Drosophila melanogaster: one gene and its partners. The gene in region 1 interacts genetically with each later gene. Each region holds a gene or a part of one and is shown on either strand. Other genes may lie near its edges.

Region 1 (7,493 bases):
GGCGAAAACTAATGATATATGTATGTATTTAAGAGCATGTCGTTCGTTGGTTCTGGAATATCTTAAAATGGATTTCTAATGTGATGAATTTTCTTAGCTTTTCTATTAGTTAACTTATTAGCAAATATATTGCAGAAAATTTTTAAGTAAAACATAGTAATTTTAGTTAATTTAACAATTAACAATTTAATTTCTCGTACTTCATATTTTATGTTAAATATTGAAGAGAAATATTTTCTGTAGGAAAATTTTCTGCAGTTCTACATTTTGATTTTGGCGCCACAAGACAGAAAAATTAGAGCATACTTTTTGGCGCCGTGAAGAAAACAAGTTGGCAGCCCCAATTTAGTAACGAGAAAAAGTGCATACTTTTCAACGTAAAAATTTAATTGGATGAGTAACATTTGGCGGGAAATGTAAAATTAATTTGGTTTTCATAAAGATCACTCCTTATTCCTCGGAATAAATAGAAAATTCATACCACCCGTACATTTAAATATAAAAACATTCATTTATATACTGATTGCTTTTGTGCTATTTTTATTTCGCATGTTATTTTGAAATACTTTTGTCTTTTGGAGCAAACAAACAAATTCAACTACATTGGCTCGAGGGGATTCTCTTTTTTGTTTTTTTTTTTGGGTAAGTCAGGGATTTGCCTACGACTAATATGTATATTTTAAATATAGCTTTCCACATCCGTTAACTTAACATTCTTAGGTCTTTTGTTGTTTGTTTTGTGTGTGTGTGTTTTTTTTTGTCCGCTAATTAATTAAGGTATTTGACTAACAATTAAAATGTAATCGAGGTACTATTAACTTAGACATTTGCTAATGCTCATAATTTGCGTATTGTGCATGCAATTTGACTATTTTGTGTGCGGGGCATCAATTGGACCCATCGTTTTTAGACGAGGCTAATGCTAAGGCCCATTGGTAATCGCAGGCCAGCGAGTTGGATTGAAGCTTGGTGGGAATTTTGGTGGCTGTTTCCTTGTTTGTGGTGGCTCTGCGGTTCCAGTGGCGCTTCCGCCTCCTGCACCACTTCCAGTTCCGCTCGGCCATCCACTTCTTCCTCCTCCTCCAGCTCCAGCTCCATTTCTTGTGCCTGCTGGTTTTCCTTGTTCTCCTCGTGGGTAACCTGATAGCGGGCAGTTGGCAGGACTTCGGATATGGCGGTATCGAATTCCAGCAGTATCTCATCATCATCGAGGTCCCGCGTCCAGCGCGGCGCCTCTTTGAGCGGACTCATGATCTGCGGGAGTTTCGAGCAGGCGGGGTTTGATTCTGCTGAATATGCGGCGGGTTCTTCCCGACTGAGTGTGGTTCCCAGTCGACGGAACATGGCCACTACTTTGCCATCCACACTGGGCTGCGGGAATCTTTGGTAAGTGGGCGTGGATTGTGTATTGAGCACTGGTGTGGGTGTAGCTGTAGCTGCCACATCCTTAACCAGTCGCTCCACTGGTTTCCGGCGCGGCGCCACACACTCCACCTTGCAGATCGCATTGCTCCTCTTCTGGCCCTGCGGCCTAAGACAGACGAACACCGACTGCTGATTGCGCTTCTTGGGACTCCGCCGCAGACTCTCCACACAACACTGGCGCAGCACTCGGCTCATCCGGCTGACGGAGGCACTGCGTCTGCTGGCTCTTCGCTTCGAATAGACTATGGGTGCGGGTGTGGGATTAATTGGAACTTGGGGCTGCAGTTGGGGCTGCGATTGGGGCTGCACTCGCACCGTGGGTCGAACCATCGCCACCGGACGGAGCTTCGTCCTTTCCTGCTGCAGCACACTGTTGCCCATGTGCGAGGGACTTTGGCTCTGGCTTTCGGCCTCATTGCTGTTGACCGCCTGCAGGGAGTGCCAGTTGATCAGCCAGTTGTTGCAGCTAAAGCAGAGGAATTTGTCCTCGTTCAGGGGCTGAAAGTAGAGATATATAGGGAATAGATGAGTACGGGTAGTAGAAGTAGTTTTATCTAGACTATAAAGTTATTGCTAATCATAATATACTAATCATAACTATTCAAACTCATTTGGTCCTTCAATTAATTTAATGGCTGAGTAATAACCCATTTTATAAATTGCTTACTGCCTTAGACTGATATGTAGCATTCCAAGTAAAGGATAAAAAGCCATTAGAAAGAACCGAAGGCGGTTACATTGTAACTTGCAGAGCCACGAAGGCCAATCATTTATTGATTATAGCCATGAAACCGTTAAGGTCATCAGGAACCAACCTTAGAATGAAAATTGACCCAAATCCGATTGCGTGACTCGCAATCTGAAGCCAGGCATAACCCACAGAATAAACCTCTAGAAAATTACGATACGCCTATGCACTTAGTGATCGCTCGCGACACCCGACCACTACCACCACCACTACCACTAATGAGCATCCAGCCAGAGGTGCAAAAAAAAAAAAAAGACCATAACAATTCCGAAAAACAACTGCCAGACGACCCGGGCATATTAATTACCCAGCCAGACCTCAGCATTCCTCGGGTATCAATAATTTCGTGCACCTGCCAGCAAAAACTAAGCGCCCAGCGGTAGCAGCTGGCCCAAAAGGTACGGAAAACCAGTAACCAGTAACAAGCCAAAGGGACATTCGCTACTTAGTTCGAGCCTCGAAGGAAACTCGTTTTCGGCCAAGAGCCACGCGCCCTATCCATATATATAAAAAAAAAAAACACATAATGCCGAAGTGGAACCGAAGCGGGAACTGGGTTAAAACCCCAACTATGACGACCATTAGGCACGCGCATGCGCGACAGCTGCGCCGAGAAATTAGATAAAGGTGATCGGTACGAGGGTCGGGGAACCGAAAGGATCGACCAGGATGGCGATAGAGGAGGAGGAGGTGTGCAGGGTAGAAAGGATCAGGAGCGATTGTGGCTGGCTGTTTACCTTTGGGTTCGGCGCTGAAAAGGTGTGCTCCAAGGGCCATGTGTAAACGGTATAATAATGCAAATTGCAGGCCAGGTGCAAAGCAGACAGAAAGCCACACAAACACACACACACACACGCACACGCACGCACGCCGATCGCAGATGCACTGCGAGAAAAAGGTGTGCACTCCTAAGATCAGTTAAATATGGGCACATGAAAAATATGTTTAAAAGTACTTCTATTAGTTTGAAAACAACTCTTCGTGCTTCTGTTAATATAGCTGCATATTTACTCAATTTGTAATGTTCCTTTTTTCTAAGTGCATAAGAGTGGGAGGTGGGGGGGCGCAGTCTGATAAGGTAATTGCAACTGGACTTTATGGCACTGTCATTCAGAACTCGAGCTTATAGAGAACCCGGCGAGGGTGTTGTTCCTGTGGGGGAGATCGGTTGCCAGGCTACGATCACGGCAGGTGGTGTATGCCCACCGTATAGGGTTTCGCAAAAACGGTTCAAACGAAATTCTAACGACGTCCGGAGGGGGTGAATATATATATATTCTATGTGCATAGAGGGTGAGCTTCTAGTGTCTGATATTGCGGGGTTAGCTGAGGGTTTTTGTTATTATGAAATCGCATTGCGTGCGTCTCGAGCATTTCGTAATTAAATTGATTGCTATACACACAATACTAGTTAAGCACAATGCTTCAATTAATCTAAGACCGAAACATATATTCCGAAAATATGTGGAAATACAATCTACCAATATCTACCCAATATTTTAACAACCTATGTTAGCAACCACTTAATATTGTTTATGTTTTTATAGGACTTCGTTTTAAGAACTCTCATTCTGACTTTGTAATCCAATTGAACGGAAACCTTAGTAAAAACTATTTCCCAAAAATACCAAACTAAACGAAGACCTCTAAATGGAAATCTTGTCTAGCTTGGCACTTCTGGGACTTCGGCTGAAAATTCGGGCATTTGAAATCACCTTTGTAAACGCTATTCCAAGGGTAGATCCTTTGTTTGGATTTGCGCAGCTTAAGAAACCGGAATTTCTATCCAAAGATATTTGGCATTCTCCAAGGGTTCAACCACCAATGCTGCTGGGGAAAATCCCTTCGTCTCACAAACAATAAACTGTGAACTCGCATCCAGGTATCCGAGTTCAATAGTTGATATGCGAAAAAACTCACTCGAGACCATGAAGAGCTGATAAAGAAGCAGCAGCAGCAGCAGCAGAGGATCCAGAAACCCCGATGGGTTGGATTTTGAGTGCCGACCGGCAAATACAGCTGTCGTTTTGGGATATGGAAACGAAGAGAACGAACACACCGGGTTCGTTCACTGCCCGCAGAAATTGGAGCAATCTCGGCAAATCCACAGCACATCTGCCCTTTCGAGCAGGTTTATGTGTGCGCCGCCGGTACAGGTAGTCATGGGTAGTCATTTGAGTGAGGAGGAGTGCCTGTAATCCGAGACCCGAAACTCACTTCCACAGAAAAACAAGCCCAGGATCTTCAGCCAGGATCGATTTCCCTGGCCATCTTCCGCTGTCGCATTTCCCACACACACACACACCGCACTGCTCGCATATTAGAACAAGCTGTTAAAAATTATGGGAAAGGAATCGAACTAAGTGGCGGCTCTGTGGCACTGGCACATATGCAAAGTGTCCAATTACCAAAGGTTGTCGGGGAAATGCATCATCTGCTCGGCGACAGGATATGCAGTTTAAAGGGCACAGGAAAAGGTGGGCATACCACAAAACTAATAGGGATAAAGGATTTTGAAATTTTCATTAAGAAAGTAGTTTGTGATAGAACTACTAATTCCGAGACCTTAGTTCTTTGCAAATAATCACTTAAAAATATTAGAAAACTGCGCTCGAAATCAATCATCAAATAGCTTGCCACTCTTTTTTTCCCAGTGGGCTGCTGTGAGGGAGTTACCTGTACCTGCCTATAGAAGTGCCACCCATTTTCCCATTTTCCGCCCAGCGAAGTTCATCCCCTTTTAACCCAAAAAAAAAAACACACACGGATACACGCGCAGAGGGAAAACTTTGTCCGAAGGACGTTCCTTCGTTGCATGACTCATCCGCCGAGTTGCCCCAATATCGATTTTTATACGTTCCCCGCCTAACTGAGTTTTTATTTTTTTTGCTCTAAGTTGGGAAAAATCCATACCTGAAACTTGAATTTCGCCTGGATTAGCTGAACGATATTGGGTCCGGAGCGGGGCTCGTAGATATTGATCGTCTGGTTGGTGTGGCAGCCGCAGATGAGGCAGGTGCGTTTCAGGTATTCCGAGGAGGCGGCGGGTGCGGCAACGGCCGCCGAAGGATTCGCCTGCTGCTGCTGATTGGTAGACATCCTGGCGATTTTTCCCAGCCTCTGACGTCACCAAAGGTCGCACTAACTTCTGCCGATATTCGACTTTCGCACTCGTATTGTATTTGTATTTTCACGATTTTTTGGGGTGCCGCGAAAATGTGGCAAACAACAAATGCCAAGCGGCGAACGCGTGCGACAGAGCGAGAGAGCGGGGAGAGCGAGAGCGGGACAGCGAGCTACGGAGCGGCACGTCCTTCGCGTTGCACGCACAAATTTCGAATGAGCCTTGCTTGTCCTCATCGCATTCTGGGCACCACTTTCAAAATTTGTGCCTGCGGGCTGCCACATCTGGCAAATGACATGCGAGAGTGGCGAGCGTTGTCGGATCGATGGGAAAAATAAGAGATAAAGGATAAGCTAGACACTAATGAAATAAAAGTCATGCAAAATATATCATATTTTCAAATCATATATATATTTTCAAATATAAAACAAAATTTAAAAATATTTATTTATTTTTGTATAATTTTTATACTCAAATGCAATTTTTTGGGCTCAGATTAAGCCTGGTGTTTTTGAAAAATGAAAACATGTACCATATAACCCAATATTGCAGTGAGAGAAAAAGCAACCATAAGGGTGACATAGCCGAAACAAAACAAACAGGCGGCATATGTTCACATTTAAGGGCGCCAAAAGGGATGTTGACTGCTAGGATGACTAGTGCGAATTCTGAAACAGGAAACGGATAACAAAAGGCAGTGCCAGTGGAAATATGCAGCAGAAGTTTGACAATTTAACCACGAATAAAATTCTGATGACTGATATACTTTTATGCCAAATAAATATTTATAAAAAATAAGGAATAACAATGTTAATGATTCTTAACCTGCTGATAAACCTTATTTTATAATTTTATTGCCTTGCAAGGCGAATTGCCAAATTCATTCAGCGATCAGAGCCTCGCAAATTTTATGAATGAATCGAAAAGCACCGACAACTGTCTCCGAATATTTTGACAACTTGACCTATCTGAACTTTCGACACTCAAGCTCGTCCCTCGCGTCCAGTCCTTTGGATTTGCTTAAGCCGCCGAAGGAATCGGTGGCAGCTGCCATTGAGCGACAAACGCCGAATTTAATGTGGACGGCCTCCTCGACGGGCACTTATCATTATGGAGGACCCGCCGGCTCAACACAGAGCCCATATCATCCGCGGCACGAATAGCTTGCAGCATGTGCGCATTGTGGGCTCATCAACAGGCTGCCGAGTGCAGAGTCTGGTGCTCCCCCCAAACCCGTCGATCCTCCGCAACGGCGACGAAGCACCGACAGCAACGGCAGCTGCTCCAAAAACAAAAAAAAAAAAAACAAAAACACAAAAGGTGCGTTTCGATTTTTCGTTTTTTACCCATTTTTATGCGGCATTCGGGCAGTTCAATCATATGTTCTCTGTGTTGTTGCTCATTTTGAGCCGGTGGTGTTGCAGCTTGCAACCGGATTTCTTCGTGGCGACAGATGTTTCTTCTCCTTTTTTCTTTCGTCCGAACCTTCTTCGTCCGCTCCTCCGATTTGCGACGATCTTCTCAGATCGCAGACACTGGGTTAACTGGCGCTGCTCGCCGCTACTTTTACTACGCATCTTCGACGATAGTAAACAATGGAGTAAGGAGCAGGGAGTAAGGAGTAGGCAGTAGGGAGTAAGGAGTAAGTATGGGGCACGGAGGTTCCAAGCGCAATCGAGGCCTCTGATGAATGAATACATGAATGGAATCAGGCGAGGGAGTTGCGTGGCGAACGAATAATGTATCCGGAACTGGACCCTCGATCGATCGATTTCCGCGACATATGCGTATCAAATTTTCATGTAGATCTCTGGGATCCCAAGAGAGGAAGTGCCCAAGGTGCCAGGATGAGATATCGAGGATAAGAATGGGATAACGAAGTTTTTTTTGGAGATTTATGGTTAAGCATTTAAATATTTATTATCAAGATCTCTATTGTGATCCTATCAATATGTTTAAACAAATGGTTTTGGTGCATTTGAAAAAATTCGGTTTTTTGTATTCCCATTTTTAAATCACTGCTCTTATTTATTTTACTTCGACTTTGACTACGCAATTAAACACTATTAAAGCTAAACTACACTACGCAAAACTAAAGGGTACCGTCTAAAAACAATTATTACGCCATTGTTTGTTTATTAATTGTACATCAAATTTTTTTAATCTCTTATGCAATTTGACTTTAAGAGGAAATAT
Region 2 (4,700 bases), 690 kb from region 1:
TGAAACCCACATACCTCAACCGTAGGGTAACTGCAAACAGGTTAACCCTCGAAATGGAGCAGCCTGAGCACCCTACTTTGCCTTCATTGCCACTCAAGTGGAAGTGGCCGGCCAAGGAGATGATGATGATGGTGGTGATGGAAATGGAGATGATGATGATCGCGGATAAAGGAGCTGCCTGGTGACTGGAACCGGTTCGTGAGCAGCCGTCAGTGGACAACATGTGGGCCACCTCGAATCCCCCTGAGAGGTTCTTTCGGAGGCAGTGCTCACTGGGCCTGGGTGGACCCGTTAGTCCATCCTTGGCCCGGTGCAAGCTGTGATATAACCAACGATCCCCGTAATGAGCCTGACCAATTACAGCAGCACATGGCTTCCTACGGCCAGCAAAACCTGTTGCCCCTGAAGACGAAGCCCTTCTTCGGTTTTGCAGTTGGGAGAAAGTCTCCTCGCTGGAATAGGGCTTCCCATTTTGGGCGCCACTTGTGAAGAGGAAATCTGCCTGGCACTTCTCAAAGGGGTCGAAACTCTTGCACTTTGTCACGTCTCATTTAACTTGGGAACCCCGGGGGTGGTTGTGCGATCACTGGTTCCCACTGTATAGTTCGCTCCAACCCTTTATATACGTACACTATCTCACATCCAACATGCACAGAGAAAAAAGAGGGGACATTATTGGTACAAATTTGCATACTGTCTATGTAGGCATTTGTTATAATACGTTGCCTATATGTTGTTATATCCCGTTGATATAGGATTCAAACAATGAAAATGTAGTACTAGTTGTGACTTCCTATAGATCAAGTGAGTTCTAACATAATTTCAAAGAGCAAATCTTTAGATTTCCGTAAATGTTTTTCCTATGTGGAGACACCCCTTGACGAGTGGGCGTGGGACACGGCCACGCATGCGCAACTCCCTCCGAACTCCCAACTCGAATCCACTTTGTCTGAGTGGGTGGGTAGTGTGTGTGTGTGTGTGTGCGTTTTCGAGACTGGGTTTGTTTTGAGCATTGGGTTGGGTACAGTCTCCGCTTGGCTTGCCTTGCGGTCGGGTGAGTCACTGGGTCTTGGCCCCTGGGTGATTTTTTCAATCATCATCATCAGCGTGGGGAGTGTGAATGAAATGAAGTCAACAGGAAATAGTCAGTTTGCGGCTAAGAATAAAATCAAATGATCGCTACGCTTTTTTCATGTTATGTAGTGACTACCAAAGAATCAAGTTCAAAAAGTACATAAGGTTCTTTTGGAAATAAAAGAAAGTGATCGCTAATATAATGATTTCCAATTTTAGTCAAAGTTTTCAACAATGCTGTCATGTATTGTTGGGTTAACGAACTCACTTAGTTGTTATTGCTTAACGAACTTGCTTAACTTTGTCTTATAGTCTGCTTCCGTTTTCCACCCCTTTACTTTCCAATCTAAAGGAATATGCGTTGCATTCTAGGCATTTTCCAGTGCTTGGCTTCGTTTAACTCGAGCTTAAAATCAATTTTTGTCGACGAGTAAAAAGCAATTAAGCTGTCAGTCTATGTAAGCAGCTTCAAAAACACAACTAATTTCTATATATAATCCATGGAGACGCCATGAAACGAAATTCCGTTGCCGGTATCCCCCTACCCCGTACATAGTATTTATTTATATAGGCATAATCCCGGGCAAGTGCAATTCGACTGCATACAAATTGCATTTTCCATATAATATATAAATGTATAAAATATGTGCGTGGGAATATAATCTTATATATATAAATATATATATAAAGCACTCGAATGCAGTTATTTGCATTCTGCAGCAGACATTGCCACCCACAAATTTTCACCATATTGCCCATGGCAACAAAAAACCACACATTTTTAGTTTTCATTTGAAAACACCATGCCACAAACGGAATTCGTCAAAGGCAAAATAATCAAATACAAATTATATAACTCCTACATACATATGCATACATATGTAGTCGCATATGTTGCATAAAAACCGAAACCCCAAAAAATCATATGCAAAACCCCCCATCGAATCGAAATGAAAATGCATCTCTCTCTTTGGAGAGAGCGCAAGCCTGTGCCGTTATTTTCTATTTTCCCAGAGAGCGCGAGAGTGAACGAACGGAAGTTGAACTCTCGAAAGTGCAACACAATTCCTTTGCACTTTTTTGATAAGGGGTGTGGGTCGCTTTTTGGGGTGGTGGGTAGGTGGGTGGGGTGGTTGAATATAACAAAAATTGTTATAGACACAAAATTTATGATGTGCTCCGGCTGTGAAAAACAACCACCCACCCAGGAGCGAGAAACTAAGGGGGTTACGATAGGTGGGTGCGGGGGGATGGGGGCGGCAGTTAGTTTTCAAATGCCAAAACAGTTGAGCTATTGTCGCGAGAGCGGGATAGTAATACCCTTCAAAGCCATAACGAGAGCGAGAAAGAGGGTGGGTTGTGCATTGTTTGGGGGTTGCTATACCGTTGCATAGAGCGCCTGCTCCAATCCACACACCAATACCATTTGTTTTTATTCCACTGTGTGCGTGTGTGTGTTTGTGTGAAGTATTGATGAAGGAAAAATAGAAGTTGGCGCTTTTTAGTTGGGGGTTGCTGCCCCCAGTGGGATGTTTCTCTGGAAAAAGTGCATACCGAAAAAGATACGCACACACACACACAAACGCATTGCGGAAAAATCAATAAATCACTTGGCTTGGAAAATAGATATGGAAAGGCCCCCCCTCCCAGGAAAATCAATTAATAGATACTCCATGCTACTCTGATCCGATTTGTTTTAAAATATTTTATTCACCAACTTACCAACATGTTAGCGGAGGTTTTGCAGCCAGCCCCGGAGTATGCAACACTTTTTCGCCTCTTTTCGCGCGGCACACTGTTTAGTAGGTTTGTGTTTCTCCTTTGCAGCTGGAAATTAATTTACTTCACTGATTTGTTAAATGATTTCCTTGATGCACTTTTCGGTTTTCCGACTTAACGAGAACGGACCGCGTTTCACAACTAACCTCATCAACACTCACACACCGAATGAGATTTCGTGACTGAATGAATATGAATGGTCGCGGAGGAGCGGATCCTACGGCGATTCTCCGCCACCCACTCTTTTGGGGTGGCTGATGGGTTGGGCGGAAAATTTCCCGTCCCTCCCCCTATTGGGCCAAGTAAATATGTTGTAATATTTAGTTTTGTTTTTGCGTCTGCGATGCGTTGCTTAGTTTGCTGTTGTTGCCGCGCCGATTGCCTGTCGCGTAATAATAATACCTCTCCGACGTTGTGCAATTGTGGGAAAAGCTTCCTGTCTGCGCCGCCCTGCTTCTTCTTCTGACACCCCTCCGCTTTTCCGCTTTCCACAATTGCAAAAAGCGCGCGCATTCCGCAACGCTCACGCTCCCACGCATAACAAGTGGACTCTCCGGCAAAACTTTGTCACTAAGCTAAAAAAACGATTCTAATATATAAATAGACTTATTAATTGACTTAAATTAAGAAAGAGTATATTAAAATAAAAAAATAATTTATTTTTTATTTGTCAGTATCGGGGTATTATCGATAGTCGCGCCGAAAACATCCGAAAACATCGAATTAATTGTATTCAGCGCGGAAAAAAGGCCACAGCAAAAAATCTCTTAAGTTATTTATTTTTTTTAATTATCTGTAAGTATAATAATAGTTGAATTTATTATTTGACTAATTAAACAACAACATATGATTTTTAAAGACCAATTTTCTTATTTGTTAAGCTTTCATTTGTTAAGCTTAAAAGAATTTCCATTACATAGAATGCTATTGAAATTGAATTTCATTTGCAATCCTCCTTAAAAATTACATTTCCGGTTCCATTTTACAATAATTTTACATTACATCATACACGATTACTACCTTCTAATATTAGCTGTGTCACTAACCCATTGCGAACTATTTTGGAGCTGCTTTCCGAATTGCTACACTTGTAGAGTTTAAGTTACCACCTAGAATTCTACATACGGTTATTTGATTAATTTTATTTGATCAATAAACATATTCACTGGATTATAGCCATGTACAATGCTTAGTCATGCCAACTCTGTCAATTTGTAAAATGTTTTTAAAATGCTCACTCGTATTTATAATTTTTTGCCAAAAAGCTGCCAAACAAAAACTGTTTTAATCCTCGATATATAAAATATTATAATCTTGGTTTATTAGTACAATGTACTACTTATTTTAAGAAGGCCAGCAGCTTTGCATAATACATTAATAATAAAATACTAATTAAATAGTACTGACATGATACATTGAAAGAGAACATTGCAGACAAAAAATAGGATTTATTCATCTGTAGGATGACCCACTCCACTTTAAAGGCCAAGAAAAAACATAAAAGGGAATTTCATTAAAACAGATTAGCGTAAGGTGCGCAATCTTTAATTAATTTTCGCGGATTTTATGTTTTTGCCCTAGCCGCAAAACCATTCAGTCGAGTGGCAAAACGATTGCAGGTAAAAAATGGCTACCACTTAGCCATGACGACGTTCATTTTTAGATTTTCGTCATTTTTTCGTCCACTTTTTCCGTCACTTGAGGACAGCAGTTTTTTTTAGCGGCACCCAAGTTTTAATCAAATTGCACATGTGACCACATAGTCAGCCATATAACCCATAGCCCACACCACAGACCCCAAAACTCCTTTGCTAACCTAATTTTACAGTTGCCTCTTCAGCTGCACT
Region 3 (7,355 bases), on another chromosome or scaffold:
CTTTTTTAACGTTAAAAGTTTGATGCTAATAATTAAATAAAAACAATATTTTATTGAACAAGTATATGTTCTTCATTCTTAGAATCACTGGGGCGTTCACATAAACCTACATGTGTACATATTTTGACTTGCTCGATTTCAACAACCGCCACACGTCGCGAAGCTTTTCAAACTGATATTTTGTTTTGCACATTATCATTGTCTGAATCAGCCATTAGACCTCGCGCTGTGTGCTTTGTAAAAAGAGATTGATGTACATATGTACATACATATTTACATTCGTATGTGCAAGTTTTTAAGGCAATTGCCTATTAGCTGTTTTCATTCATTTTCCTGCTGTTTCTAAAGCAGATATATCACAACCGATTTTATCATTACCGAAACATATACAAAAGTGGTGTATATCAAATTGTTATTAATGATCGAAATGACCTGTCGAAGCTTACATTCTTTCTGCTTTTGAACTTAAATAAGTTTGTGAACTATCAATTAAGATGATGTTTAGAAAAGACGTTGCAATTGTTAAATTTTCAGCATCATTATTTATTTACATTATTTAAAATTATTTTTCGGTACCGTTATTATTAAAAACAAAAGTTTAATTAAAACTACAAAAATACAGCTTAGATTCAAGACTGTAAACCAAATAAATATCTTCCGTTCTGCTGTCTAAAGGCATATTCTGGATTTTATGTTAACATACACCAGAAGGTACATTATATGTTCAAAACTTAACCCAAAAGAAAACTTAAGCGCTGAATAATTAATCGATTTACATACGTAAGGAAATTTTTTCAACCAAATCGTGTTATTCTTTAAATAGTTGTACTATTCTTGACTTATTTTCGTGTGTAGACTCCAGCCATTGCTTTTAATAAAGTTAATACAACTATACTAGTTTTTAAATGGGAGTATACATTGTACACAATTACATGTGCATCTTAGAGGGACGTAAAATAGGTATTTAATATTTTCCAAAATAAAACCACATATTTTATATGAAGGATATAAAGCATATCTCAGCGCTGTCGTGTCGAGCGCGTACCCATGCTATGATGTGATTTAGAAGTTGGTCCTTTATAATACTTTGATAACGTTTTGCTAGTACGGGTCGGTCGGGCGTTGGTGCTGTTCCGTTCTGAAGGTTTTTCCGTATCTGCCTTTAACGGCAAGTCATCGTCTTCATCCCATCTAGAGTCTTTTTTTTCTTCATCGCCAAAATCCTCGACGTTGGAATCAATCTTTGATTTACGTCCTCGGCGGTTTCTTGATGATGAAGAACTAACATCAGTTCGCTCCCACTTATCACTAAAAAATACGGTAAACATTTTAAATAAAGTCCGTATCAATAAATCTACAACTCACTCTTTTAGGGAAATCGTGTTTTCTTCTCCTGCTTTAAATCCACGATTCAGCAGGGCCAGCTCCCGCTCGGCAATTGCTTTTTTATGCTCATCTGCCGATTCTGCTGCACTTAGCTTGGTTGTGGAATCGGCAAGTTGCTTCACAGGTTCTTCATGATTGCCTCGCTTCAGCTGAAGCTGTTGCTCCTGGGCCTGTTTTATAGAGCGCTTTAACGCACTTCTAAGAGTGTCGCGGGAGTTTTCAGGCGCTGCATCGGCTCCCAACTGAGAAAGTCCAATAGCCTCCAAAAGCTTTTGTCCAAGCGCAGCTTTGACTTCCGACTTCCGAACGGATACCGAGCCTGCTTTGCTATCATCAATATCGTCACTACCTCCATTGTCCGGGACTGGTTCACACACTTCGGGATTTTCTTTCGCATTAATGGCTCTGGCTTTAGGATCGCAAATGTCTTCCGGGACGGTACTTGTGGGTGCCTGCTTTAGCTGACCCAAAGATTCTTTTCTAACAGTTACCGCACTTTTCTTTGTTTCTCTGGATAAAGTCTGTTTCGTACTTGGAAATACTTCTTTTGAATTCTTTTCATTTGGGGATCCGCTGTTATCGAGCACAACGACTTCAGACGGCTCTGATGACCGAATGTCTGTTTTGCGCCTTTTAAAATTGTATTGGGATCCGGGCTGGGACTGCGGAGAGACGTAGTCATCCTCAAGGTACTTCACATTATGCGGATCGACTGCAAGAGGCGGTTGGGGATCGATCAGTACAATGTCTTCTAAATTAACTGCACTGTCAGAGCCAATACAACTCTGACGAGTTTTTCGCTGGTCTTTTGTTTCTTGTTGTTGCTGCTTAAGGAGTGAGATAAGCGCTTCATTAATAGCGTCGGCCGGATTTGATTCGAACTGCGAAAAAAGCACAGAATTGATATTCGACAGTTCGTTGCTGACATAAGCTGCCTTTGAAGTCGATAACGAAATTATGCGGCGCGTCTTGTCAACAGCAGGTAAATCAAGGGCACGCATCTTTCGTTGATGGCGTTTGACAGTTGGCACGCTAACCGCCTTTTTGTGACGCACAGGCTGCGGTTCCTGTTCCGTGGGACTGGAAGGCACTAATTGAACCGACGTTTCTGGTGGAAGTTTATAAGGCATTGCACTAGATAAGTCAGCCAGCTTAAGTACATCTTTAGTCGCCTGCGATGAATGGTTTGAAGAAGCAGACCCGATAGCTGAGGAAAGTGGATGCTGATCTTGTTGCTGAACCACAGGCAGCATTGGGGCCAAATATGGACCTAAAAGTTGTGTGAGATCTGTGTCTTGAAGAAGGTTTGTGTCTGACATTATAACAGCGAACTTTGAACTTTTTAAGCGGGACATTTGCTCATCACAGTTTTCTGCTGTCACCGGCCATTTTAGAGCCTTGAGAATAAGCATCAACAAGTCTGGATCCCTAATAACGCTTCCCAGGAATATTGCATCAGTGAGGCTTTTAACATTAGAAATTGACGTTGACGGGGGTGAAACATGCGAATCAACCGATATAGTTAAATCGAGTTTTGTGGACTTTGTCTTAGATTGACTTGGCACAGTTTTCTTTAGCTGTGGCAGAGCCGTTTGAAGAAATTGTTCTTCATCCTCCCTTTTCTTTTTTGGCGCCGCAAAGATCATGTGCTCTGGCAGTGCTTCCTCCACGGAAGGTTCACCACCATATTGGGGTACCAGTGTAGTTGTGACCAGTGGTCTAACATCTTCAATAGGGTTTCGATTTTGCGCACCCTTAAGCAGTGATACCTGTCCGGTACGCATGGCTTTAATGTTGTTTAATGTGTTTTTAAGATTTCTACTTTTCTGCAGAAACAAATTACTGTCCTGAGATTTCGTTCCTGGATTGCTAACGTTTGAAGAAATAAGAACGGAAGCTGTAACTGTGTTTCTGCTATCTGTCACGTTGATGTTTCCGGTATTGTCCTCTGCTTGGACTTCAGGTATATTGCCCGTGATGCGCCCATGAGTCTGGATGAAGTTTATTACTCCTTTCGGCGATAGTTTTGTGTCTGGGCTCTTTCTCATTGCGTTGCTACCCAATGACTCTGTGTTTAGGGGCACCAAAGAAGGCAGACACTGCATAGTTCGTTGAGCGATAGACAGTGGGGCCGATCCATACCTAGTGTCTGTAAAAACGCTGTTGCGTCTCCCAGTGTTAAGATAGCTCTTTACTGATCCAGCGGGTTTGCTCAGAGAAGAGGATGAGGAAGATGCAGCCAAGTAGTTTTCGCCGGTTTTTGGGGCCAGCTCCAGGCAATTGGCTGGTTGGGGCTTGGAAGCGGTGTTTCCGGACTCCGGCACGTGGGTCAGCAAAATGGGGCGAAATTCATCGATTTCCGCTTGGACTTCGTCGTGTCGGTGTGGGATTTGGGTTGCTGGAACGCTCAGTTGTGCAGCAGCCGCTTCCCTCGCATTCTTAGGCTGGAAGATTTAATAAGTTGTAAGCTTGCTGATTATATATAAGTGGTATATAATCGATTACCAGTGTACTAAGGAGAAAGTCCCGAAACACGAGCTGAGTATGTTTTGCTATATTTGAAAGCGACGCCGTGGCCTCTACTTGGCGGTAACAAGATTTGCAGAGCACTTTTGGCAGAGGATCTTCTTCAGCTACCTAAAAAGAAATACGTTTTTTAAATGTCGAGTCTTAGCAAGTACGCGGAGGTCTTGTTTTGATACTTATTCAGATCTAGGATTAAATTTGATGCAGCGCCAAACAGGCTGTTCCTTTTTATTTACTTACATTTAGATAAAGGTGTCGAGATATTTTATCCTTCAGTCCCTGTGTTTTAAAAATAAACACACTTTCAACCACGGAATTCGTCTTGCTTTTCGTGTTGGCAGCGCAAATGCGGCACAAGTGCTCAAACTGAGCATCCATGTTACGAATTTGAATGCGCCTTTTATTTCCTATCTCAAAGCGTCAAGCCCAACATGCTGATGACAAAATGCAGAAAAATTTTTTAAAAATCCCAGGGGTTCGGTGTAATAGGCTTACTCTTGTTAACACCAAATTTAGACACACACACTACCATTTGCAATGCAGTTCGCCTTGCCCACTACTTCGTTTTCATGAATTTTTTACACTTGCAATTTGAGAAAGTCGTCGCGCGGTTACTGAGAGCGTGCAAAACAAAAGGCAAAATGAAAAACAAATAATAACAAACTGTAAATGTATTGATCATTGAAAGCGGAGAGCGCAAGTCCGAGAGAGTGAGAAACAGAAGCAGATCTTTGCTTTCCTCGTTTTACGCTGTTCACAATTGCTATGCTATGTTTTTGTGGAAAATAGTATTTTTCCATTTATTCTTTTCTCGAAAGCTTTGCAGAAGTCTTTTAGTCTCGACGAACGTTTTGGAATTACGAACATGAGCACAATAAAAGATTTATTCACTTAAAATAGACTTCTGCCACAACGATTTCACCAGCACTTGCGTTGCGACGAAAAAACGAAATAAAACTGAGCGAAATAAATGTTGCTGCCGTTTGCCATTACACTCACCACTCACACATACTAATGCATTTCCGTACACACACAGTTTCGCGCTGATGGCTTACAGTACTCTTTCTTTGCTCTCGCCTCTCCTACGTTGTTTGCACCGCCGGTGATGGTGTGCGTGCTCCCTGACTGTTGCTTGTATTAAACACTTACACGACTTTTGTTTCTATTTTTCGAGCGCTGGTGTATATGTGTGCGGGCTTGGTGTCCGTCTGTTTCATGGCGCACAGCCAGTTTTCCGCTCTATCCATGTGGCCTCAATGGCGTAAATGTAGTCGGCTGGTTTTTCTTTCCACCAGTTTTTTCTTGCGACCGGGTATTTAAGGTGTATCTAAATACCGTTGAAGGCGATTGCATATTCAAAAGCTATTACTTCCCTTATTAAAATACATACGTGCATACATATTATGTATTAATTTGCCGCTCGTAAAGTAAAAGACGACTCGCTCACTTATCAACTGTTGGTGCCTTTATTTACGTTGATTCCTCGCATGAAGCGCTCTCCTTGAACTAAAACTAGTTGTCATTCATTTTGATAGTGTTGGTTGTTCTCTGTTTGCGTGCCTTAGAGCTTATGCTTCTGATCTTTCTTTTGCCATTTTAGCTATTTTCCTGAGATTTTGTGATTCACTATGTCTATGTATTCGTGCATTTACGCCAAAATGTGGGCATAAGAAAAAATTTAAAATCAAGCTTTCGTATTAGCAATAAGTGCGATGTGGACGTACTGGACTTGGAAAACACAGTCTCTTCATTTTGACGTAAAACAAATAAGTAGGCAAACTTTTTGAATTTTCTTCAAGCCTAAAGTGTGCAGAATTTGGATTTTTAGGCGAGTTCCTAGTCATGTTTATATATGCATTTATATATGTGTGTACATATTTACACATATCTTAAATAACAACAGTCAGAAATATGGGTGATGATTTGTTATTTTAAATCTATACATAAGAATCAATATCTTGGGGTAACTTTTACTCTAAAATCAACATTAATAAATACGTTAATATGGCTGTGCAATGCTTTTAGCACATTTATACAAATTGCTTTCCTATAGACATACATATGTACGAATATGAATATTCCTTGGGCTTAAATGCATCCGTTCGCCAAAAGGTATGCAAAAGGTTTGGAAAATACTCCGAACTATCGCATTTATTTCATGAAGCAGCCACACGACTATTTACATTAACATAAATATGTACATACAATTGTACATTTAAGTCATTTAAGTGTATAGGAATATACCCTTGCAGAGAGTATATTGATTCCAGTAAAAACCTTGATGCGCAGTGTGGGAGACATTAAAGTATATACATACATATATTCTTGATCAGTATCAAACTCAGTGTTCATCGCCGTCCGTCGTCAGTCCCTCAGTTTAAAGCTGCATACAGATCTGCACGAAAGTTTTTCAAAAGTCTTAGGTAGTTTATAAGTCGGGACGGGCCAGATTATATCATTTCTTCTTATCCTTAGATGAAAAAAATCAAGGATATGTGCGCCCTGGTACCCAATTCTTACCTAAACACCTTTCCGTTGTGTGAAAGCTTGCTTAACGTACATTTTTAATGTATTTTTTATTATCGTTGGCAGATAGACATCAATGCAAAATGGTGTGCAACGAATGTGTACAAATTGCCCGAATTACATCTCATCAGGTATTTTAAAATTTACGAGCGCATTTGATCGGCAACATTTTTTTCTTGTTATTTACCAATTTATGTATTTTACATATTATTTTAAGTTTGGATACACGTAGTTAAATTATTGTACTGCTACCTTCAGGCATCTTAAACAATTATATATTTGAGGAGGGAAATTAATAATACTATTGTATTGATTCAACGTTAACGAATTTTTACATATTTACAAGGGTAAATATTTGTCATGTTCCTATATTAACAATCAAGATAGTTGTTACAACAGCGTTCTAAATAATAGGTCCTGTCGGTGGGGCCTTTTTAGTCTTATATTTATGTATATAATATGTATTTTTTTTATACATATAGAAAATGTAGTTTGGGCGAAAATGAAGCATACTTTTAGGCTGACAGATTCAGTGCATTTTTTTTTCTTATAATTAAATTTATTTTTTAAGGCATACGGGGAAATCTTGGAGCCCCTTTGTGTCCTTCTTTTCTATTATTTCTGCCCATTTGGGCGCGCCGGCTAACTATAGTTAGCTTTTTCTAGTTTATACAGTTATAATACAGTACATAACAAACACATATAATAAATAGGTTTTTTGATAAGCGTCAGCTTCTGCTGACCCTTGTCAAAGGAGATCGGGAAATGAGATCCCTCGGTTGCCTTCTGTTGAGCCTCCTTGGTGGGCGAGATCTGTTAAGAGCGCTGGCCAGCCGATTTCTGTGGCGCTCCAGCCTGTCATGGTACCTGCTCGAGTGCTGGTTTATCTCGTCAAATACCGTTGCGAGTTTCAGGTC

The links.
Region 2: of phyl (region 1) and chn, changing one enhances a phenotype caused by changing the other (phenotypic enhancement), as found in Drosophila melanogaster (one study listed by BioGRID).
Region 3: of phyl (region 1) and dbr, changing one suppresses a phenotype caused by changing the other (phenotypic suppression), as found in Drosophila melanogaster (one study listed by BioGRID).

What each region holds. Positions count from the first base shown.
Region 1 is NT_033778.4:14,426,822-14,434,314, forward strand, and holds phyl (phyllopod), read right to left. Parts: upstream 5,517-7,493; 5' UTR 5,273-5,516; coding exon 5,087-5,272; intron 1,924-5,086; coding exon 907-1,923; 3' UTR 515-906; downstream 1-514. UniProt on the Drosophila melanogaster protein: Essential adapter component of E3 ubiquitin ligase complexes; involved in R7 photoreceptor cell differentiation, embryonic nervous system, external sensory organ development and specification of particular muscles.
Region 2 is NT_033778.4:15,113,785-15,118,484, reverse strand, and holds the start of chn (charlatan), read right to left. Parts: upstream 3,025-4,700; 5' UTR 2,797-3,024; intron 1-2,796. UniProt on the Drosophila melanogaster protein: Probable transcription factor involved in the development of the adult pattern of macrochaetae. Required for accumulation of achaete (ac) and scute (sc) in proneural clusters.
Region 3 is NT_033779.5:64,560-71,914, reverse strand, and holds dbr (debra), read right to left. Parts: upstream 5,434-7,355; 5' UTR 5,303-5,433; intron 5,240-5,302; 5' UTR 4,912-5,239; intron 4,873-4,911; exon of another isoform or gene 4,527-4,872; 5' UTR 4,408-4,526; intron 4,347-4,407; 5' UTR 4,291-4,346; coding exon 4,153-4,290; intron 4,024-4,152; coding exon 3,892-4,023; intron 3,831-3,891; coding exon 1,366-3,830; intron 1,309-1,365; coding exon 1,020-1,308; 3' UTR 525-1,019; downstream 1-524.